Linked DNA regions of Saccharomyces cerevisiae S288C. The protein of the gene in region 1 interacts with the protein of each later gene in a biochemical or structural test. Each region holds a gene or a part of one and is shown in the gene's direction. Other genes may lie near its edges. The genes, in order: PUT3 and MYO3.

Evidence for each region.
Region 2: the proteins of PUT3 (region 1) and MYO3 form a complex in vitro, tested with the Saccharomyces cerevisiae proteins (one study listed by BioGRID).

What each region holds. Positions count from the first base shown.
Region 1 is NC_001143.9:404,484-421,776, forward strand, and holds PUT3 (Put3p), read left to right. Parts: upstream 1-4,060; coding exon 4,061-7,000; downstream 7,001-17,293. Other genes in the region: WD-repeat containing protein SWD2, read left to right, coding at 1-608; ATP-dependent 5'-3' DNA helicase HCS1, read right to left, coding at 707-2,758; ATP7 (F1F0 ATP synthase subunit d), read right to left, coding at 2,982-3,506; URB1 (Urb1p), read right to left, coding at 7,136-12,430; ARC19 (Arc19p), read right to left, coding at 13,025-13,540; snoRNA-splicing protein PRP40, read left to right, coding at 13,827-15,578; CCE1 (cruciform cutting endonuclease), read right to left, coding at 15,672-16,733; putative ubiquitin-protein ligase UFD4, read right to left, coding at 16,941-17,293.
Region 2 is NC_001143.9:195,224-203,611, reverse strand, and holds MYO3 (myosin 3), read left to right. Parts: upstream 1-3,444; coding exon 3,445-7,263; downstream 7,264-8,388. Other genes in the region: phosphoglucomutase PGM1, read right to left, coding at 1-71; PMU1 (putative phosphomutase), read left to right, coding at 1,841-2,728; SHE2 (She2p), read left to right, coding at 7,584-8,324. UniProt on the Saccharomyces cerevisiae protein: One of two redundant type-I myosins implicated in the organization of the actin cytoskeleton. Required for proper actin cytoskeleton polarization and for the internalization step in endocytosis.

The sequences.
Region 1 (17,293 bases):
TTCTATCGTCGTCATACGATGAATCCGTTAGGCTTTGGGATTTGAAGATCTCTAAACCGCAAGTTATTATACCAAGTCTCGTACCAAATTGTATCGCATATGATCCAAGTGGCCTTGTATTCGCATTGGGGAACCCAGAGAATTTCGAAATAGGGCTATATAATCTGAAAAAAATTCAGGAGGGTCCTTTCTTGATAATTAAAATTAATGATGCGACTTTCAGTCAATGGAATAAATTAGAATTTTCTAACAATGGAAAGTATTTATTAGTTGGCTCCTCGATAGGAAAGCATTTAATTTTTGACGCATTCACAGGTCAACAATTATTCGAACTAATAGGAACAAGGGCCTTCCCGATGAGAGAATTTCTAGATTCTGGATCTGCTTGTTTCACACCAGATGGTGAATTCGTCCTTGGAACCGATTATGACGGTAGGATTGCCATTTGGAATCATTCTGATTCAATAAGTAACAAAGTATTAAGGCCGCAAGGGTTCATTCCCTGTGTTTCTCATGAGACCTGCCCCAGGTCAATTGCATTCAACCCTAAATATTCGATGTTTGTTACCGCAGACGAAACAGTAGATTTTTACGTGTACGATGAATGACTGCTGCTACTGCATTGATATACTAGAGGATATAATATATAACGAACATTTTTTACCTACTGTATAACGACGTATACTCTATACATCTTGTGTATTCTTTACAAATAATCGTCAATGTTGGGGTACCTTACGTCAGCGTTCTCTTCACACCATTCTGACCAACTTTTTAGGTACTTGTTACCGCACCTTTGCAGAACTTCTATATTGCCAACAACAACTAGTTGCCTTCTGGGTCTTGTCATGGCGACGTTCAGTCTTCGTTCTTCCTTAAGGAAACCAACTTCAAATTTTTCATTGCTACGAACTAAACTCAATATGATAACATCTTTTTCACGGCCCTGGAACCCATCTACAGTTGATATTTCAATATCAGTTAATTTTAATTCATCATGGATCAATTTTTTCAGATGAGAAACTTGTGCATTGTATGGAGAAATAACACCTATAGAGTTCTCCGGGACGTTGAATGACCTTAAATTCTCAATGTGTTCTTTTACAATGGCAATTTCGCCCTCATTATACTTAGATCCAAGGATAGTAGCTTCATCTGCAGTCTCTTGAAATTCATCACCTTGCGTATCATACCAAATTAAAGGAATTTTTGTATCGTCATCATCCTCAGATGGCGTAGCATCGACGGTCGGTAGGTCTATCAAAAGTCTGTTCGCGACCGTTGCATCGGCCAATAGTTTCCCATTATACATTGAGTGCGATGGAAATTCCATAATTTTTTGATTCATCCTGTATTGAACGTTAAGAAATTTTACCATATCCCTTTTCGGGAATATTTTGATTATTCTGTCAAATAGTGTGGTTTCCAAATTGTGAATGACATTTTTGTCGTCTTCTGTTTTGATTGTGGGTGGCAATTGTTTATTGTCACCAGCAAGGACTAGTTTGTGGAACTGATTTTGATGTGCAATTAGTGGGATCCAGCATTGTGGTTCCATGGCCTGTGAGACTTCATCGATGATCAAGGTATCGAAAAGCTGGAAATTTGGATCATCTCTATAAAGGGAGCATAGTTCTCTCGATGATGAACCGTGTAAAGTGGTGACGACTATTCTCGATTGTATTATTAAGTCCTTAATGGTTTTGAACTCTCTTTTCTTTAAATCTTTGCGCAGCAGTTTAATTTCGTTCCAGTTTTCTTTACGTTGCTTATAGTTTTTTAGTTTTTTATTCTCCTGAATTAATTTGTCAATCTCCTGGGAAATGTCCTTCACAATAGTATTCTTTTTACTAAGTATATCAAGAGAGTGTCTTTTATTAGAGTCTAATAGCCTAGCAGGATGACCGATTCTTAATAATAAATTATTCGGCACAAGAGGCGTTAGCCTCTCCAGAATCGTATCCACAGAAATATTGGAAGGCCCACAAATTAAGATTCTCTCCTCAGGATTTTTAATTAGCAATTGCTGGATCAATTCAATTAATGTGAATGTTTTACCCGTACCAGGAGGACCATGTATAATGGTCAAGTCATTGTTAATGGCAAAATTAATGGCAGTTTTCTGGGAGTCATTCAGATTCGGGTTTAAAAAAGATTTAATGTTTTGAAAGCTGTTTGTATTGGGGATGAAGGGGCGTTCGTTTACCAAGTATTGTATAATTTTGTCTTGTATGGGTGAACTAATTTCAGACAGTTTTCTCATTGTGGATTCCATTCTATTATACGTGACGACATTGGTAGTCTTTAAAATGTAAAGTTTGCTATAAGAATAAAATGTGGTAGCAATAACATCTTGAGATTCTTCTAGAGCTATGGTGATTTGAGTATCACTCATTTTGTAGACAACGCCTGAGCATTCCGCTTGCTCGCCATTGGAGTCTTCAGACACCTTTTTGACTTTGGGCTTAGTCTTGGTATTTACTTTGGTTTTTGCAGGGCGTACCAAAACAATATCACCAACCTTAATATCACCCCTTTGAATTTTGTCGTTAACCGCCAAGTTAGGTCCCAGTTCCATATATAATTTGCCAATGAGACCGGATCTTATGTTTTCTAGATGTATGTTGTTTATTGCCAAGCCATTTTGCACCAATTGTTGGATAGATAGCGTTGTTAATAGCCTAGAAGTTGTTTGAATGTCTTGTTCACGTTCATGCTTGATGCTTGATAAAAACTTAGAAGCCAATTCTTTGTTCATTTCCCTCTACTCTTTTTTCTATATTTCTCAAGAGACAACTTTACATCAGCCTTCATATTTTTGAAATATATGTAACGTACAAGATTTTCTTAGCGTAAGGATATGCAGGCGCACATTTGTGTATATATGACAGTAAGAATGTTTAATTATAATATTTGCCAGTTATATAAACCTGTGAAAAAAATAATAGAATATGGTGCGTAATATATAGAGGTAAAGGGTACTACATCACATTCAAATTGCCGAATCTGTCCTTGTAACCAGGTACGTCCCATTTACCCTTCTTGACCATCTCTTCTACCTTAGCATCAATTTCAGGTTTGATCTTTGTCAGGTCGTCAACAGTTAATTCATCGAAAGGTCTTGCAGATTGAATATTATCTAAGGTGCTTTGCAAATCCTTTAACTCCTTGGAAACTAAGGATTCTGTCTCCTTGGCGTTGGTCATTGCGTGCTTTTCAAAAGACTCAATCACTTGTAATTGTTTGGAGGCATCGATTTTGACCGGCTTATATTGCTTAACGTATGATTCTATCTTGTCAATGACTGAAGTGTTTTTCAACACAGATCTATAATGACTGAAATCTACTTCGGTGGGTTGACTTTGCAGCTCTAGTAATTGTCTACGTGCCTCATCGTTTCTCTTTTTAAAACTCGATAATTGAGTGGCAGTCGACCCTGTTATACGTAGAGAAGAGATGACTTTTGCCCAGTCAAGTTTGTTAGCAGCGGATTTGGCCAAAGACATAGTCGAACAAAAATATAATTAGGTGATTCTGCAATTAAGTGCACGAAAAATTTCTTTTAAATCCTAAGATTGTTCTTTTGCGTTACGTGTCAATATGAATATATAAACTTATATAGAAAAGTATTGTACTAGTAGAAATATGTTTTACACCTACGCTAAGCAGCAAGTGGTAATTGGTGTATCTTTTACTTTTTTGGGGGCATCAAGACAAATATCCAATCAAATCGAAGAGAAAATAATTCTTGTAACCCGCTCATTAGTCACGTGGTCATCACGTGAGCATAATATATCACGTGATATACACCCATACCTCGTTTATGGGATTGAGTCATCGGATATGTCATTATAAACGATATTTCTCCGCGGCAATGAGGTGGCGAATATTGGAGTAAAAATGAAAACATCCACCAGGTGCTTGATGATATACTTGACTTCGGCGGCAATTTAAAGCTTTCTAAGCAGCAATTAGTAAGTAACCATTACAATAACGATAAATACGACACTGGTCCAACTAACTCATTGATAGGATAATTGCAGTGATCTTAACGAGTTTAATGGTGACCGACCAAGGCAGTAGGCATTCGATACAATCTAAGCAACCAGCCTACGTTAATAAACAACCGCAAAAAAGGCAGCAGAGATCTTCTGTCGCATGCCTTTCTTGTAGGAAACGTCATATAAAATGTCCTGGTGGTAACCCTTGCCAAAAATGTGTTACGAGCAATGCCATATGTGAGTACTTGGAGCCGTCAAAAAAAATTGTTGTGTCGACAAAGTATCTGCAACAACTGCAAAAAGACTTGAATGATAAAACTGAAGAGAATAACCGCCTGAAAGCTTTGCTCTTGGAGAGACCAGTGAGTGTACGTGGTAAGGATAACAGCGATGATGACGAGAGGCATATAAACAATGCACCCTCAAGTGACACATTGGAAGTATCCAGCGCTCCGGCGGCTCCTATATTTGACCTCATGTCCAATAGTAACACTGCGTCCGATAACGATAACGACGATGACAACAGCAACAGAATCACAAATAATAGGAGCTATGATCATAGTTTGGAAAAATACTACAAAAAGGCCATCAGCATCTTTAAACAACCAGCTAATGCTAATGGCGAAAATGGCAACGGTGCCAATGGTCATGAGGATGATGATGAAGATGATGAAGAAATATCAACAAATTTTGCTCAAAGAAGTGGTAGGCTCATAGAATCTCACAATGGATTCCATTATTTTGTTGGATCTTCTTCAATGACATTATTTGGGTTAGAAATTCAATCTTTGGTTACAAAGTATATTTCGGTCAAGAATTTTCGACCTTTGCCAATAAACACCAAAAACAAGATTTTAAATTCAAACCTGAACCCGGCTATAAGTTCTTTTATCAATTCAAACAACTATCTTTTCTCGTCCTATAATTTTTTGAACCCTATATCGACTATTGTCAACTTAAACTCAATCAACGATAATTTATCTCCATTGATGTTTAAGATAATTTTGAAAAGCGATACGGATGGTAGTAGTGGCCAGGAAGAGGTAATACAGTTTCAGTTGCCTTCGTATAATTACACAAAACTATTAATTGACTGCTTTATAAATTATAACGATGGTTGTTTTTACTTTTTCAACGAAGGCCTGGTTAAATGTGGCATTAACAAATTGTACTTGGAAAATAAATGGCTATACTATGATAATACCAAAAAAGCTTTGGACAATGAGAATGATCCAATTTTACAAGCTGTTTGGTTTTGCAAAATTTTGTTAATTTTAGCAGTAGGTGAAATGTATCTGGGTTCCATCAATAATGAAATGTTGAAGAATTATTCTAATCAGCCAAAATTGCCCGGTTCAAAATTTTTTCAAATGGGTTCTAAAATTTTTAATTGTTTGTTCTCAAGTGAAAGATTAGAAAATGTGACTAAGAAAGGCGGTATTGAAGTCCTGTTGTTATACGCGTTCTTCTTACAGGTGGCTGATTACACTTTAGCCTCTTATTTTTACTTCGGTCAAGCCCTAAGGACGTGCTTAATTCTAGGCTTACATGTTGATTCTCAAAGCGACACTCTATCCAGGTATGAAATCGAGCATCATAGGAGACTTTGGTGGACAGTTTACATGTTTGAACGAATGCTTAGCTCAAAAGCTGGGTTACCATTAAGTTTCACTGATTATACAATCTCTACAGCACTGCCAGCGGATATTGATGATGAAACTATCGAAGAGAAAAATAGTCACTATGTTTTCAGAAAGGCAGAATTGATTTCTAACTGCGTTACTATTGTGAAAATCAATGCACAAATTTTGAGCAAATTATATCAAAGGCAACCTGAGACAAACATCATAATTACTTTGAAAGTTGTCATCAAGCAGTTGTTGGAATGGAGGAACAATTTGTCCGATTCCTTACAGGTGGATTTTACGCAAAAGGATGAAGATTTCAAAATATCGAGATTGTCAACCAATATGTTTACGGAATATTTTCAAGGAATAAACTTGGCCGTGAGACCTTTATTATTTCATTTTGCATCCATTCAATTGAAAAGGTTCAAAACGAGCAATACTTTCGTCAACTTACAAAACTATTCTGCCACAATATCTTCCTTATTAACATGTTCTTTGCATGCTTCTGTGAATACTATTAGGTCTCTGTGGAGTTTATTACAGAATAGTATGCTTGCTATGTTTAGTTATATGGACAGAGAGTATCTTTTTACTTCTTCTTGTACTTTATTACTATTCAACACTGCTTTTGGTATTCATGAACAAACACTATATCATTTGGATCATTCTCTGGAAATTTTCACACAAATGAGAAACTTAGGCAACATTCCAGCAGGCTTAAGAAGAGCACAATTATTAACATTAATGGCAAATTTGGATTTCCACGGCATAATGAATGACTTGATTACTAAATATAACGATATTTTGAAATTTGATTCTATGAATTGTGAAAACGATAACATAGTAGAAGATAGCAATGAACCCAAAAGAGAAACCGAAAAGTGTAAACCTCACAAAGATGGCGATCGCATTGACCCTTCAATTATAGACTGTGATAAATCAAACACCAATACAAATATGATCAAGAACGAATCTATATCGAACATTGTTAGCATACTTCCGGAAGGCGCGAAACCAACGCTGACTGATTATAGTAATGGTAATAATGATGTTAATGATATTAACGTCAATAACTCGGAACCTTCTACTTTTTTTGATATCATAACTGCGAGCTTGGAAAATTCATACCAAACCACGCTAACTGAAAAGGGCTCTCAGGTGATGGAAAAAAACATGGATCAGTTGGATTCCGTTCATAATCTAAATGATGACGATTTACAACAATTGTTGGAGGATTTAGGCAATATTGATCATTCCGATGAAAAACTTTGGAAGGAAATCACTGATCAAGCAATGTGGCTGGGAAATACTATGGATCCAACTGCAGCTGCTGGTAGTGAAATTGACTTTACTGATTATTTAGGACCATAACACCATTACAAAGACAAAGAAGAAAATACTGATTTCTTTGTTTTCTTATGCATATATTATACATTTCGCACATTATATAGAAAAGTGGACATTTAATTCTTCAAATCTTATTTAAAATATCTATCACAAGACAGCTCATTTACGTAGCCTCTTGACAACATTGTCGCTATCACCTTCTGTCCATAATATTAGCCTTTTTTGTGATTTGACAAGCTCGTTGTAGCCTAATAGTAGTTTTTCAATTCCGTTTTGTTCTTGGGCTAACCTCAAAGTAGTATTTAATGTACCTCTGTTTTCGTTCCGTAAAGTACCAATGTTGTTCAGTATATCGTCCTGTGGTAGTCTAGATTTGATGTTATTGTTCAAAACCTCGAAAAACGACACAATACCGTTTCTGCTAATTAAATTCAAACCACCATCATCTGCTACCCTTTGGACTTTGTAAAAAATAAAATAGATTAGTTCGCGTAATCTTTCTTTCAAGTATGGCATATTGATCAAGTTTAACAACCATTCAAATACACCTTTCTTCTCTAACATCTTGTAATCTTCATCCGTTTTAATTCCCTTACAAATGGTTGTTAAAACCCAACTCAATTCTCCATAGTATATTTCCATATCAATTTCTTTCTTATTGTCATCTTGTTGTCTCTTATTGTAGGACATCATCACATCAGATACCATAGGGATGTCCCAACTACGTATGGTAGAATTTGATAATACCCAGCGGTATGCCTTCTCATGTAAGGGCGCAGTTGGACTTCCCAATAGATCAACAATTCTAGAGATAGAAAACCAAATTAACGGATTGATAGGATCTTGATTTTGTTGTCTCTGGTATAAAATCCTTTTAATCAACACTTGGTAAATGCTATTATATTTGATTAAATCGCTATCAGATTCTTTTCTTTCATTATCCTTGCTAGTTATTTGCTTTTCAAGATTCATCTGGGCAGTTTTCTTCTCCAAAGAAGAAGCTAAATTTGATAAATGTTCGTAACTTATATTGGCAACGGTATGACAATCGCTTAATGAGCAAATAATAAACTGAAATATTTTGCAATCAAGGAAATTTTCAAATTCATATCTGTATGTTACATTGCCCTCGTCATCTTTGACCATTTTTACCAGCTCTTTGTTATGGATTATTAATAGCAGTAAAAATAATGGATCGTACATATCAACACCAGATCGTTCGGTATCATCGTAGTACTTTTTGACTAGGTCACACCTTGTAGTAGCATCATAATTGTTTGTATTAGAATCGGTATATAATTCAGGGACTTGAGGCCTTTCCAATACGTATCTGTCAATGGACTTTTTGATCATGTTTTTTTGTAGTGTTAGTATCAACCCCTCCCTTTCTTTGGTAATCAGCCTCGTGTCTCCAATGGCTTCCAAGATTTCTTCCTCTTCGTCTTTGATAAATTCCCAAGAAAAAATCATGTTTGTCCATGAAGTAGCGGTGTGAGATTCGATAGTTTCTAGAATTTTCAGTATCAACTTGTCGTTACTGGAAATAGTACCGGAGTAAAAAGTCAATAATTTCTCTTGAACTATTGGCGTCGAATTTACGACCGGGTCGATGCTGAATAAAGAGAATAATATCATTGTGCTTAAGAACTTTCGATACGATGAATCTTCATCATTGTCTTTAATCATTATTGATGAGTAACTGTCATTGCTTAATAAAAGTTGAACCATTCTTTGCGATTGAATTGACTTTTTGCTCACACAAAAAATTAATACAATAACGTATTCAAGAACCTTAATTTGTTTGATCCACTCACTGCCTAGAATAGCCTCTAATTGAGAATTAATGATTTTGACATTCAACTTATTTGGTACCTCTTCAAGTTTTAAGAGCTCAGCCATCGCTCTTAGTAACTCAAAAAAAGAATTGGAGATAACTTTTCTTTCTGAAAGGTACTTTGTAAGGTAAAGAAGAGTTTTATGTAACCATGTTTCTACCCCTGGATAAGTAAAATTATTGTGTGCAGCTATGTATCTTACTGTAGCAGCATGATATTTATGGTCGCTCTGTGATAAAACACATTTCAAAATTTCATTTCGTTTCGTTTCGTCATAGAAATCAATATAAGTGGTAATCATATTTAATATTTCGTCAAAAATCTCACTTTTCGAGGTAGTGTAAGTACTTTTCGCAATTTCATTACCATACTTGGAAATGGTTTCATGCGCAAATGCGCTAAAATCTTTATCCTGCATGTGCTTGAACAAAGCAGCCGTTGTTACAATACTTAGTAAAGGTGAATCCTTGATCCTCCAGATACTTGGTATGAAAGATGGGAAAGAAAAATGTTCCCATCTGTAAAAAGCTTTCAGTACTAGATAATTCAAATCACTAGACACAAAACTATTTATCAGAGAAGTAGTTTCTGAAAGGGATAGCTTACCCATAGGATCAGATGAAGCATCAACACAAACTTTGTTTTCTTCAAAAAATTTAGCCAAAGAGATGTTTACTTCCTTAATTGAAGCAGGATCTTCATTTGCAGCTTTGTTCAGTATATTCTTTACAAGGGATATTTTTATAGTTTTTCCTTCGTTGAATAATTTTTGGAGAATGTTTCTTGTGGACTCTAGTTTGGTGCTACACATGAGTAGCGAAGTTAAAGCTGAAGTACTTAAATACTCACTAACACTTGTTAAGAAAGCATTTACATCTTCTTTCTGATACAACTCATTATAGTTGGCATACTCTTCGACATTTTCACCACTAAACACGACTTTTTGAATTATTTCTCGGAATTCCACTAATTGATGGCCTGTTTCAAAGCATACTGCACCGATTAAATTGCACATGAACCTTGATTTTTTCATGAGTAGAGCATTTCTTTTTTCAATGGCCAGTTTTGGTAAAGCGAAATTTATATACCTTTCCAAAACTTTGATAATTGGGAATTCTGTGTCTGTTACCATGTAGCTAGCAATCTTGCCAGTTAACTCACAGGCAGTTGCTTCGAACCAATTGTCATATACAACAGAATCGTCTTCTACCAATAACTGAACTCTAAAAAGGATTCCTGCCGCATCTAATTTGTTCACTGGTAATCTAGAAATATTCATTAGATTTTTAGATGGAAGCGCCGAAATATACTGGAAAAAAGATGAGCTCTTCATTGAAGAAATTAAAGAATTAGAGCTATTAGTTTTCTTTATGTTTTCTTCAAATGAGTCAAGTTTCAAGTATATATTAACATCATGATCAGAGACCTCAGGAAAGACATTTTTAACAAGTTTATCTATGCCTATATGGTCTTCACCAATGAAAATCATGTTTCTAAGAAAAAGTATAAGCCATTTAATTAAAAACTCTGGGTTTCCACTCTTGTCAACGTATTTCCATTGCTCTGAAAGGCACATTATGAAGGGAGAAATGTAGTTATACTCTTTTGCCATATCGACGTACTTGTATGGTGTTTTTACGACACGAGATATAGTTTCGTCAAACCACTTCCAGACTTGTTCCATGTTGTCAATTTCAGAAACTTGAAGGGAAAGCCCTTGAAGACTATTCACTAAAGCCATCACTGGTGAAATTAAAGATATGTTGAAGATAACGTTTGTTCTCGTCAGCTCATCGAGCAAGTTGGATATTCTTGTAGTTATCACGTTAGAAGCATTTTTGGAGGATGCTAGCTTTAATAGTAGGGTGAATAAAGAATTTCCACCAGAACTTGGATTCCACCACCTGGTTTGAGTAGAGTTAAATTCTTGAAATTGTAAGTAGTTGTCCAGAATAGCAAATTCTATGCCAGAAATCTTGGATTTTTGCATGATATCTGTGTAAATATTTGATGATGGTAGGTTAATTGAGAAGAGGTTGGGGAACATTTTACTATAGTAGTTGAATATGATGGATATGGACAGAGGTAAAATTCTATTATCCTTATTGGAAGCCAAAGAATTGCTCAAAGTAGATACGAAGATTGGTAAATCAGGAATTCTAGTATGAAACTCGTTGAGTAAAATAGTTTTTTCATTTCTCCAGCCTTTTTGATCATAAAATGTGGAAACTTTTTCTAATTTTTTTAACGCTAGAACTATTGATTGACAGGCTAATTGTCTTATGATGGGTGTTTCAAATTGTAGGGATTTAACCAACGAGGATTTGGTGAGCAAAGATGGCAGAATGTTTTCTATAACTAATGAAGTGGCAGGTGGAATATTGCTATCAACTTTCTCCATAAATTGCGGTATCTTAAGATTAATAATCTTGTTAATCAGTAACGTTATACCAAACCAATACGAAGTCATCTTAGGGTCATAGTTACCATTCGTCGTTAAAAAGATGCTGTAAGGAGCAACAAGTTCGGGAACGTTCTCCAATATTTTGATCAACGTACCTAATTGCAGCGTATCTTCCCAAGGTTTGAAAAGGCGTAAAGTGTTGAACAAAAGTTTATTATGAATTTGAAATTCCACTTGGTTGACGGTTATCGGAGCTCCATGAGAAGCTCCATCAGCAACTGAATTTTTGAACCAAACGCAATTATCAGGAAATGCTACGCTAAAGTCACGGGAAGCTCCAAAAGTTAAGAAAAACTCATTTGCCTTCTTAACCAAATTCTTGTTTGATGAATAATAAAAGTGATGAATCTTTGAAGCCGCTAGTTCATTTAAAATTTTGGTTTTAGTAGTTCTCTTGAAGGATTTCTCCTTTAAAATGTCGTTTATGAATACCGATAGTATGTGCTCAGATAACTTGTCAGAATCAGCCTTATTCATGAATTTAAATAGGTTGCTCATAATCTTAAAGTTTTCTGTCAAAAGTTCTTTTCTCACGAATGGGGAAGCATTTGAGATCAATGTCAACCAAAACTTGATAAATGTAAATCTTAATGAGTCATGTTTGGATGAATCAGCAGATGAATTCCCATTGGCTAACTCAGACTTGCTTGGTACCAACAGTCTTGGTAAAATAGGTAATGAAAAATCGAAATATGAAACTAATTCCTCTATATGTTGCCCATTGTTGAAATTGACTATTTGTTTGAGTAGACGAAGAATTGGATTAGTTAATTGCGCACGCATATTGTTCAACCCTCTATAGAGAACTTTTGTGTAATCGGTCAATATCAATCTAATTAGACCGCTCCCAATAGTCACTGTACTAGTATCAGATGACAAAACTCGTAAGGTTTTAGTCAGTAATGAGGTAGTTTTCGAGAATTTCCCATGGTTATTTACTTGAGCATAATATGACCAAGTCTGTACCAATTGAGCACCAAATCCTCTTTGGAAGAACACTATTAGAGGTTGGTAATCTTTGGAGAGAGTTTCATCTTCGACTGCACTGATTATACTTTCTAGTGTTTCTAATGTACCGTCTTCGAACTCTTTCCCTTGGGTGTACTTCTCCCTTCTCTGGTCGCGAGATCCATAGGCTTCGCTATGATTACTCATTATGTAAGTGCTCCTCTAGTTCTGTTAGATGAAGTAGTACCGCATAGATTAGAGAAATAATATCCAATCAAGAATATAACCGAACTATTCTTTGCGATGAGCTTTATTGCTGAAATTTTTCATATTTCGTCTACAGTGATATAATATTGAAATCCTCATGCAAGTCGTGCATAGGTAAAAGCTGTTTACTATATGTTGGTGCACTATTATCATATAATTTTAGTTTGGTCGTATACTAGTGCGGCAGTAATAATAAATGCTTTAGAATCTTCAATCTTCATTTGTTTACGTAAAATGAAAACGTTTTGTGTTAGAATTGACAGATTGAAGTTTAATTTTAGGTGTCGGGAGAAACATTTTAATCCCTTTTTATGAATATAATTTAAGTACTAAAAAAATCACCATAATTATACAAAGTAACTGCAATTTAAAAGTACGTTTATAATTAATTCACATACACATGTTATTGTATCTAACTAAATAGTCTCGAAATAGTTCAATTGAGTACGCAAACTAACACAGTCAGTACAGATCGTAAAGTTTTCCGTCAATAGGGCCCTGACGGAGAAAGATTCCCTTTCCTATATTAGGAATCTAATAGACAAATTCATCAAGATATGCTTCCGCAACAAATCTTGCTCTGGCATTCAAAAACAGTTTAATTTCACTGATTTCCTTATCCACGTCCTCCATGAATTCAATAATAAAATCAACCAATTTCCCAGTTTTCATTGATTCAGTATGCTTATTAGTTATTAGAAAAGAAATACTGTAGCCAGGTATTGGTACACGTCTCAGAATGTAGAATGCTTCAGCACGCTGTTCCAAAAATCTAGTAAACTTGTGAACTAAAATCTGCTCAATTTCATCTGCCTGTTTCACCATTAAACTCATACGCACCGAGTTTACACTGGGCTCAATCAATACTTGTTCATTTTCATTACGAGATATATGCATCGGTTGGAGCAACAATTCGGCGCTAGTGTTAGGGACTTCAACTTCCGGTCTGTTGTGCCTCTCCACTTCCTGCGAAGAGAAATTGCTCAAAGTCAACGCAGCTTCCAGGGAATAACGAACAGCCGTTAGATACGGACGTAATGATTGTGACATTTCCTACTATCAGTTGCTTCCTCTTTTATCTTTTGTCAAAGTGACACCGAGTTGTTCCGAAAGCCTCTATTTGCTTGGCTTTACAGGCTTTTTTTGTTCTATAATTGTATTTTGCTATACAAAAGGGGCGACGTGGTAAACGATATGAAATTATCGACAATAATAATGTACTTGGAAATCTGGCAGTTGATGACATCGCAATAGCGTGCCTACCTATCAGGATAACAAGGTCTGAAGCCAGATCGACCACTAGACAAGCATTGCCGGAGGTGGGAGACGTGAAACTATGTCTATTTGGAAGGAAGCTAAAGATGCAAGTGGAAGGATATATTATTACAATACTTTGACAAAGAAATCTACGTGGGAGAAGCCCAAGGAACTAATTTCTCAGGAGGAGCTACTTCTTCGAGAAAATGGCTGGAAGGCGGCCAAGACGGCAGACGGCAAAGTATACTATTATAATCCAACAACAAGAGAAACCAGCTGGACTATTCCGGCCTTCGAGAAGAAAGTAGAACCCATCGCAGAACAAAAACATGATACAGTATCCCATGCACAGGTTAATGGAAATAGAATAGCCCTTACGGCTGGAGAAAAACAAGAGCCGGGACGAACTATAAACGAGGAGGAAAGCCAATATGCTAATAACTCTAAACTGCTTAATGTCAGGAGAAGGACTAAAGAAGAAGCAGAGAAGGAATTTATTACCATGCTGAAGGAAAATCAAGTAGACTCTACTTGGTCATTCAGTAGAATTATTTCAGAACTGGGGACCAGAGATCCAAGGTATTGGATGGTCGATGATGACCCCTTATGGAAGAAAGAAATGTTTGAGAAATATCTTTCCAATAGATCAGCCGATCAACTTCTTAAGGAACACAATGAAACAAGCAAATTCAAAGAAGCCTTTCAGAAAATGTTGCAAAACAATTCTCATATAAAATATTACACCCGTTGGCCTACCGCAAAGAGACTAATTGCCGACGAACCAATATACAAACACTCCGTGGTCAATGAAAAGACAAAGAGACAGACCTTTCAAGATTATATAGATACCCTCATCGACACTCAGAAAGAATCAAAAAAAAAATTGAAAACACAGGCCCTAAAAGAACTAAGAGAGTATTTAAACGGTATTATAACAACATCATCCTCTGAAACTTTCATAACCTGGCAGCAGCTTTTAAATCACTATGTTTTTGATAAGAGTAAGAGATATATGGCGAACCGGCACTTCAAAGTCTTAACCCACGAAGATGTTTTAAACGAGTATCTGAAAATAGTAAATACGATTGAAAACGATCTTCAAAACAAACTAAATGAGCTCCGACTGCGCAATTATACCAGAGACCGTATTGCTAGAGATAACTTTAAAAGCTTATTAAGAGAAGTGCCAATCAAAATCAAAGCAAATACTAGATGGTCAGATATTTATCCTCATATAAAGTCTGATCCGCGCTTTTTACATATGCTTGGAAGGAATGGCTCGTCCTGCCTTGATTTATTTTTAGATTTTGTTGATGAACAAAGGATGTACATCTTTGCACAAAGATCAATAGCCCAACAGACGTTGATAGATCAAAATTTTGAATGGAATGATGCCGATAGCGACGAGATCACCAAGCAAAACATAGAAAAAGTTCTGGAAAATGACCGGAAATTTGACAAGGTGGATAAAGAAGACATCAGTTTGATTGTTGATGGTTTGATAAAGCAAAGAAACGAAAAGATACAACAGAAACTCCAAAATGAGCGTAGGATATTGGAGCAAAAGAAGCACTATTTTTGGTTACTTTTGCAAAGGACATATACAAAAACCGGTAAGCCCAAGCCTAGTACGTGGGATTTAGCTTCCAAAGAGCTTGGCGAATCTCTTGAATACAAGGCACTAGGCGATGAAGATAACATAAGAAGACAAATTTTCGAGGATTTTAAGCCTGAAAGCTCTGCACCGACTGCCGAAAGCGCTACTGCAAACTTAACGTTGACCGCGTCAAAAAAGAGGCATTTAACTCCGGCTGTGGAATTGGACTATTGATTCTGACGTGTCGACCTCTATCTTGTTAATCATTATATAAATTATACATAGAGATTACATGTTATTTCAAGTTTGCGATCACCGCACAATTTCTTAGTCATTGTTGTAAGTGTTCTGCAAAAATTTCAGCTTTTGTACCTTATTTTCACAAAATTCAAACACCTGTCCGAACTGTGTTTTAACCAGTGTTTTTGAATTCAAGAGTTCAGTAATACTTTCATAATTTTTTAACCACTCCATCCAAGACAAACAATGGAGGAATGAATCTGCCAAATCGTCATCTTTTCTCACCCCCGAATTATCTTGGATCTCTAGTATATCACATAGCTTGAAACTTTTTTTTTTGGTAAGGGCATTTCTTATCCTATTATTCCAAACTCCTATGAACTCGACCAGTTTTGTAGAACTAGTTGAATTACCTTCTAGTATTGAGGTTGAAAGTATTTTTTTCACTAGCTTTATTCGAGAATCTTTGCTATGTTTGTTAGATTTTAACTTTTTTGAACTGGTCGGTGTCTCTTCTCTTGGAATGCACCAATATGAAGTCATCCGATGTGGATCGGACGAACATACCATATACCTCAACTTGGACGTATTCGGTATTTTATTCGTATACTTCATTTTATTTTCCAAGTTAGAGAAAAGAATCTGTTCGAGAATATTCACTTTTAAAATTGGGTCTAAAATATGCCTCGAAGACATAGTTCTGGTACGTTGCCTTTCAATTGTAAACATATCTGGTATCGGCATAGATTCAAATAAATACTCCGTAAGGTTAAATACAAGCTCAGAAGTTTCAGCAGGATTCAAGCTTAACTTTTTGAGGTTTTGAAAAAATTTCTCCTCTAGATTTATCTTTTGCCAGTCTAGTACTTTAGGGAGCGGATCATTATTGAGCAATTGCATCTTAGAGAAAGCAAAGTTAGAAACACCAGCATCCATAGACAATATGTTAATTCTTCCCTCTCTTATCTTTTGTTGTCGTAACTTCTCCAAAAATTCACACTGTTCTTGAATGTAGGTTCTTTTAGCTTCTTTCGTCGTGCCATTTACTGCTCCAATAACAAATGATAAAGATTTCAGTTGTGTGCTTTTTGCATTTTGGCAGCAGGAATCGATGAGTTGCAATATCTTAGCTTTCTGTGCTGTCGACATATTACTATCTTTTTTAGCTTTAGACTGTATAACCGTAAGCCTTCGTTGTATGCAATGGATAAACAAATATGGAATCGCCAGTTGAAACAAAAAAATGAGAAAAGTACGGATAATCCGAAGAAATTTAGTCTGATTCCATCCATTTTTTGTATCTTAAGAAATAATTTTGAAGTCATATAAAACTTAAATAGAAAAAGTAACTAAAATTTAGGAAAGTAGAAAAGCTCCTGCACCCTCTTCAATGGCTTGACAAAGACGAGACCGCATAATATCTTTGCTAGTATACTTCGGCAATTTCAAATAATTAGCACATGTCATTACACTTGGTAGATATTCGTCTGCTGTTAGGCCATCTTCAGCATGCTTTAACACAACTGTAAACTTTGGGTTCAAACTTTTAAATCCCCCAATTGGAAGCTTGGGAGATCCCGTTAAAAATTGCAAAAATAATCTTCTTTCATGCTTACCAAACGCGGATATTATTGATATAAAATCATGAATGATTGAAGAATCCATTGTATAGCCATGTTCAGCGTTCAAGTTTGTGTATAAAGTTGCCA
Region 2 (8,388 bases), 210 kb from region 1:
CGTAAACCTGAAGTACCCGGTTTTTGGTCCTTATAAGCAACTGTTGGTACAGAATCTATTAGAAGTGACATTTACTATTCAATTGAGTTGTTAGTTACCTATTTTTGCACTATTGAACCGAAAGTGGATGAGAGAGAGAATGTTTATAGGTAGACCAAAATCGATGTGATGCGCCCTTCTCCTTTTCTTGCATCCGTAATATAAACGCGAAATACCAGGTAAAAAAAGACAAAATCTCAAATAGCGAGAATGCCGATTTTAGAACATCATTTTTCTATTTACAAGTATAGCATTGTCGGTACTGAATGCCCTTATTCCTCATGACAGACTGAAACCACCGTGATACAATTGTGGTAACGTCATACATTTGACATTTATCAGGGGAAGACAGAGATCCTCTACTAGGTCATATGCGGGATAAAAAAATCTCCACGTCAATAGTGTAAAATTGTAAATAAAACTGTGGGCATTGCTGTTCTCGAGAAAAGCTGCCACTTGTGTTTGAACGGTGTCGGCTTTAGCATCCTGTTTTAAAAAGAAAGCCCTGTAGGGGGCTCGAACCCCTAACCTTATGATTAAGAGTCATACGCGCTACCGATTGCGCCAACAAGGCTTTTAAACGTGATTGTGTTGTATCTCAAAATGAGATATGTCAGTATGACAATACGTCACCCTGAACGTTCATAAAACACATATGAAACAACCTTATAACAAAACGAACAACATGAGACAAAACCCGACCTTCCCTAGCTGAACTACCCAAAGTATAAATGCCTGAACAATTAGTTTAGATCCGAGATTCCGCGCTTCCACCACTTAGTATGATTCATATTTTATATAATATATAAGATAAGTAACATTCCGTGAATTAATCTGATAAACTGTTTTGACAACTGGTTACTTCCCTAAGACTGTTTATATTAGGATTGTCAAGACACTCCGGTATTACTCGAGCCCGTAATACAACAGATTGATACGACCGTTAGAAATCGATAATAGATTCTCTATAATAGGCTCATTATAATAACTACTATCCCTAAATTCACCTATTTCTCCATATCATGTACGGCAAGTTTTTTTGAGAAGAAATTTATTGTATTTTATACTTCACAATAATGCTTTTAGTAAGATGGGATCAGAACAATCATTACAAAATTTCATTTATAGTTCAGCGATAATGTTCTGAAAAAGTTTCAATTCAATTCACGTGAGGACAATAACACTATGTACAGTAGATAACTTAAAAGTTCTTCTGCCGCGTTTTGGATAATTTCACGAGGGGAAATGGACAATTTTACTTAATACTGCTACCATTTCTTCCCTCGTTTATATCCTTTCATTCATTGCTGGGTTTGCATGGTCAGTCCTTACTAATTAGCTTCCTATAAACTCGATGACAGTTAGGACGCTCACGGACAATTATATTCTGAAAACACAAGTAATACTATTAATCTTTTGTACCAACAATTGATTAATACCAAACTCTTATTCCAAACAAAAGAGGTTCGTACTTAGCCGGTCAAACCTGGGCTGCGAAAAAGTCCGTGAAAATTAAGAAGAGGCTCAGTGTTTTCAGATGAAAGCGATTAAAATTTACAGATATTATCTTCTATTGCGTGGTTGTGCAACGTTTGAATAAATATTTGTAATCCTAATTTCTTGCAGATTCGGATATGACCCAGCAGGCATGTGCGAGTCAAGTTAATTTTTCGGGTGCTAGCTAGTACTGGAAAAAGTAAAAAGTGTCATTTGCAAAAAAAAACCCTCGAGAGATTTGTATGTTATTTAACGATTTCTTTCCAAGACTCTGCTGCGTGAAATCACCAACAGTTATTCAACAATGTCACTCAGAGCAGTCCCAGGATATTTTGCTGCATATCCAAGTGAGGGTTTTCAAGGATTAGACTCCACGAAATATGATCACTTAGAATTGATTAACCATAAGAATTGGAAGGAACTGTATCATGCTATCCCTAGAAATACCAAAAATCGCCACTATAAGCTGTTGATTTTAGCTAGGCATGGTCAAGGTTACCACAATGCTGCCATACTGAGGTACGGTATGGAGAAATGGGACGCCTATTGGTCGTTGCTTTCGGGCGATGAACATGGAGAGTGGCTTGACTCTAAACTGACACCTCTGGGTAAAGATCAAGTTAGAAGAACAGGATCGAATGTCTTGCTACCAATGGCAAAGCAATTAGGTATGCTACCTCATGTGTTTTTCAGTTCTCCAATGAGAAGATGTCTCGAAACATTCATTGAGTCGTGGACACCAGTGTTAGCGGAGACGCAAGAATTACCGGCCGGAACTAAAATTTCTACACGCATTATAGAAGGTCTAAGGGAGACGTTGGGCTCTCACACTTGTGACAAAAGAGTGGCTCACTCAATGGCAGTTGACGAATACCAGGATTTCAGCACGGAATCGGGCCACACTGTACATTGGCAATATGTACCAGATTACCCAGAAGATGATGAATTGTGGCTTCCTGATCATAGAGAAACGTGTGCTGAAATGGACAAACGTACACTGAATGGATTATTTGAACTATTTAATCAATTGTCAAGCGAAGAAAAATTCATCTCGCTTACTTGTCACTCAGGTGTCATTCAAAGTGTCTTGAGAAACTTACAGCATCCTCCAATTTATAACCTGGACACAGGTAAAGTCGTCGCTGTCGTCGTGGAAGTACCAGTCAACACGGCCGATCGCGGCAGGCTCTGAATTTTCCCACAGCGCCCATTCGGGACTTTCAAATATGTGGGTAATTTAAATAATTTTTTATAGATATAATAGAGTGGATGGAATAAAACCCTTTCTTTTCAAATAATGTGTTAAGCACTTTGAGAAATGGTTGAACCTTTCACTTTGATCATCGCTTTCTCAAGCTAGGTGAGAACATACATTTGAGTATAAAATAAAAAATGCATATGTGAAATTATATGAATGCAAAGGGTTCTTAGTTCCTTTTTTATTCTTGTATAGTTTTCACCGCTATGTCCACTCCCTCTTTTATACTATACTAATCGATGCCACAGAAAATATAGGCTTGGAAGTAATAAGCCCCCTTCATATACTTTCGTACAAGAAAATGTAACCGGTACATTAAAACAAACTTCAGTAGCCTCCCCTAATCACTCGGCAGGCAGACCTACGATCTTGAACAACTATTATATAGTAGCAAGATGCTAGCTCCATCGCTTTTCTAACTAAAGGTAAACTGATCGATTTGCATTTATATAATAAACCTCGGGAAGAGCTTTACCGAAAAAGGAAACCGTTTGCTGTGACAAGTAAATATAGAGTAATCTATTATAAAGGGTTAAAGCAATCTCGATTCAATTGACCGCGAGCAAATTAACAACAATCCAGTTATAAAACATTAATTTGCTGATCACATTTGAATCAAAAAAAGTAAAGAGAAATACTTATAACCGTCAATGGCTGTCATAAAAAAGGGAGCACGCAGAAAGGACGTTAAGGAGCCCAAGAAGAGATCTGCAAAAATCAAAAAGGCTACATTTGATGCAAATAAAAAGAAAGAAGTAGGTATTTCTGATTTGACACTTTTGTCAAAAATATCTGATGAATCTATCAATGAAAATTTGAAAAAAAGATTTAAGAATGGAATTATTTATACCTATATTGGCCATGTGTTAATTAGTGTAAATCCGTTCCGCGATTTGGGAATATATACAAATGCCGTTTTAGAGTCATATAAAGGAAAAAATAGACTTGAAGTTCCACCACACGTGTTTGCTATTGCGGAATCTATGTACTACAATCTCAAATCATACAATGAAAATCAGTGTGTTATTATTTCTGGTGAGTCTGGTGCCGGTAAGACAGAAGCAGCCAAACGTATTATGCAATATATTGCAGCTGCATCTAATAGCCATTCAGAATCGATTGGGAAGATCAAAGATATGGTTCTTGCTACTAATCCACTTCTCGAGTCATTCGGTTGTGCTAAAACTCTGCGGAACAACAATTCTTCAAGGCACGGGAAGTATCTAGAAATTAAATTCAACTCACAATTTGAACCTTGCGCAGGTAATATCACAAATTATTTGCTAGAGAAACAAAGAGTTGTTGGTCAAATTAAGAACGAAAGAAACTTTCATATTTTTTACCAATTCACTAAGGGAGCATCTGATACATATAAACAGATGTTCGGTGTGCAAATGCCTGAGCAATATATTTACACTGCTGCGGCTGGCTGTACTACTGCAGATACAATTGATGACGTAAAAGATTACGAAGGCACGTTAGAGGCTATGAGAACCATTGGTTTAGTCCAGGAAGAACAAGACCAAATTTTTAGGATGCTGGCGGCAATTCTGTGGATTGGTAACATTTCCTTTATAGAAAATGAAGAGGGCAATGCTCAGGTAGGAGATACCTCAGTGACTGATTTTGTCGCTTATTTGTTGCAGGTTGATGCTTCGTTACTGGTAAAATGTTTAGTGGAAAGAATCATGCAAACCAGTCATGGAATGAAGAGAGGCTCAGTTTATCATGTACCTTTGAACCCAGTCCAAGCAACTGCGGTGAGAGACGCCCTTGCTAAGGCAATTTATAATAATTTATTCGACTGGATTGTCGATAGGGTTAACGTATCTTTGCAGGCATTTCCTGGTGCTGATAAATCAATTGGGATTCTAGACATTTACGGCTTCGAAATTTTTGAACACAACTCTTTTGAGCAAATATGTATCAATTATGTTAATGAAAAGTTACAACAGATTTTTATCCAATTGACTTTGAAGGCTGAGCAAGAAACTTATGAAAGAGAAAAAATCAAATGGACCCCCATCAAATACTTTGACAATAAAGTTGTCTGTGATTTAATCGAGGCGAAAAATCCACCGGGCATTCTTGCTGCAATGAATGACTCTATTGCAACTGCTCATGCAGACTCCAATGCCGCTGACCAGGCGTTTGCTCAACGACTTAACTTATTTAATTCAAATCCATACTTCGAATTAAGGGCCAACAAATTTGTTATTAAACATTACGCTGGAGATGTCACCTATGACATCAATGGTATCACCGATAAAAATAAAGACCAACTTCAAAAGGACCTAATTGAATTAATTGGAACAACGACAAATACATTCCTTTCCACAATTTTTCCTGATGATGTTGACAAAGATTCAAAGAGACGGCCTCCAACAGCAGGTGACAAAATTATTAAAAGTGCAAATGAACTGGTGGAAACTTTGTCAAAAGCTGAGCCTTCCTATATCAGAACAATCAAGCCTAATCAAACTAAATCACCAAATGATTATGATGATCACCAAGTGCTACATCAAGTAAAATATTTGGGTTTGCAAGAAAATGTTCGTATCAGGAGAGCCGGTTTCGCTTACAGACAAACTTTCGAAAAATTCGTCGAAAGATTTTATTTACTATCTCCAGATTGTTCATATGCTGGTGATTACACTTGGGATGGGGACACCCTTGAGGCAGTCAAGCTTATTTTAAGAGATGCCATGATACCAGAAAAAGAATTTCAACTTGGAGTGACAAGCGTATTCATTAAAACTCCAGAATCTCTATTTGCTCTAGAAGACATGCGTGATAAATACTGGTACAACATGGCTGCTAGAATCCAGAGAGCATGGAGAAGGTTTCTTCAAAGGCGTATTGATGCTGCGATAAAAATTCAGCGTACTATCAGAGAGAAAAAGGGTGGAAACAAGTACGTCAAGCTTCGTGATTATGGAACCAAACTTTTAGCGGGTAAAAAAGAGAGAAGATCCATGTCTTTACTTGGATACAGGGCTTTTATGGGTGATTACTTATCCTGCAATGAGTCTAAAACGAAAGGATCGTACATCAGAAGACAGGTAGGAATTAAGGATAAAGTTGTTTTTTCGATAAAGGGGGAATGCCTGCACTCTAAATTTGGCAGATCAGCTCAAAGATTGAAAAAAGTGTTTATCTTAACAAAAAAGACATTTTATATTATTGGACAAACACGGGAACAGAATGCTATGAAATATACACAAGATTATAAAATTGATGTCGGTAAAATTAAACAAGTGAGCTTAACAAACCTCCAAGACGATTGGATGGGCGTTATCCTTGTTAATAGTACACAATCCGATCCACTCATTAACACGCCTTTCAAGACGGAATTAATGACACGTTTGAAAAAATTAAATGAAAAGATAATGATAAAAGTTGGTCCCACGATTGAGTATCACAAACAACCAAACAAGTTGCACACTGTCCGCTCAAAGATAAGCGATTCAGCACCGAAATACGGTGACATCTACAAGTCAAGTACAATATACGTGCGTCGTGGACACCCTGCTAACTCCAAATCGAATAAAAAACCTAAGAATCCAGGTGGGTTGAGCGGGAAACCTATCAAAAGCAAAAAGAGTAAACACAAATCTACTCATAAGCATACACATAGCCATAGAAGTCATAGGGATGCTGCAAAAAAGCAACCTCTCCCTTCGCAAAAACCTGTGAATCCGTTATCTTTGGCAGCTACCGCTGCACAGGCAGCATACAATCCTAAACCGGATAAGACCGTACCAATAAAGTCATCTGCAATCCCTGCTGCAAAAGTAAGCTCGAAACACAGCTCAAAACCCTCATCGAAGGAAAAAGTCGCAGTAAAGAAAGCCTCCTCAAGCCACAAATCCTCATCCGCCAAGCAAAACCAGGTATCGATGCCACCTTCAAAAGGGGTTGAAAAAAATAAAGAACCGTTAAAGGAGACAACTGCAACTGCAACTGCAAACATACCAATACCACCACCCCCTCCCCCCATGGGCCAACCAAAGGATCCGAAATTCGAAGCTGCATACGACTTTCCAGGTTCCGGATCATCTTCGGAGTTGCCATTAAAAAAGGGCGATATTGTATTTATAAGCAGAGATGAACCTAGTGGTTGGTCTTTAGCAAAGCTTCTCGATGGAAGCAAAGAAGGTTGGGTTCCTACTGCTTATATGACTCCTTATAAAGACACAAGAAATACGGTGCCTGTTGCAGCGACAGGGGCAGTGAATGACGTTACAAATCAGAAATCAAGCCAAATCGACAATACCATTTCAAGTGCACAAGAAGGTGTACAGTTTGGAAGTGCAACAGTTGGACCCACTAGTGATAATCAGAGTAATCCGGTGGGGACGTTTAGCGACGGTTTAGCTTCTGCATTGGCAGCAAGAGCAAACAAAATGCGGGCGGAAAGTGCTGACGATGATGATAATGACGATGGCGATGATGATGATGACTGGTAATTAACATGAATATATAGATGTTTAGTCTCTTATAGAATGGTTCTTCGTGCATGCCTCTTAACATACCAAAAGTGCATTACATATACTTTTAAACATACTCTCGCAGAAAGTTAAAGTCCCTTTTTTTTTTTTTTTTTCATTTTTTGTTTGTATTTTCCCGTTTTGAAAAACTCCCACTTTAATGCAGGACATCGTTCAAAACAAGCTTTAAAGATTTGACAGTAAAATCCTCACTTTACTCAAGACATTTTTCTCAAAAAAAGAGAAAGCACAGTAAACCCTCCTTAATTTTCCTTTTGCATAATACCAGACACTTAAAAATGAGCAAAGACAAAGATATCAAAGTCACTCCTGGAACTTGTGAATTAGTTGAACAAATACTCGCCTTACTCTCCCGGTATCTCTCATCTTATATTCACGTGCTGAACAAGTTCATCAGTCATTTGCGAAGGGTAGCTACGCTACGATTCGAGAGAACTACTTTGATTAAATTTGTTAAGAAATTGAGATTTTACAACGATTGTGTGTTAAGCTATAATGCATCAGAGTTTATCAATGAAGGTAAAAACGAATTAGACCCAGAGGCGGATTCGTTTGACAAGGTAATTTTACCAATAGCTTCAATGTTTGTTAAATGTGTTGAAACGTTTGACTTACTGAACTATTATCTAACGCAGTCATTACAAAAGGAAATTTTATCTAAAACTTTGAACGAGGACCTAACGCTAACAGCAGAGTCCATATTAGCCATTGACGATACCTACAATCATTTCGTGAAATTTTCTCAATGGATGATTGAGTCTTTGCGTATAGGCAGCAACCTGCTAGATTTAGAAGTTGTTCAATTTGCCATTAAATGCGCAGATGAGGACGGAACGAATATCGGAGAAACTGATAATATCTTCTTGCAGGAGATTCTTCCTGTCAACTCCGAAGAAGAATTTCAGACCTTGTCAGCTGCGTGGCACTCCATTTTAGATGGTAAGCTGAGCGCCTTGGACGAAGAATTTGATGTTGTCGCTACTAAATGGCATGACAAATTTGGTAAATTGAAAAACTGAGGCCTTCAGTTTTTAGCTCAAAAAGAGCAAATAAGTACCACTAGTTAATAGAACATATATATAT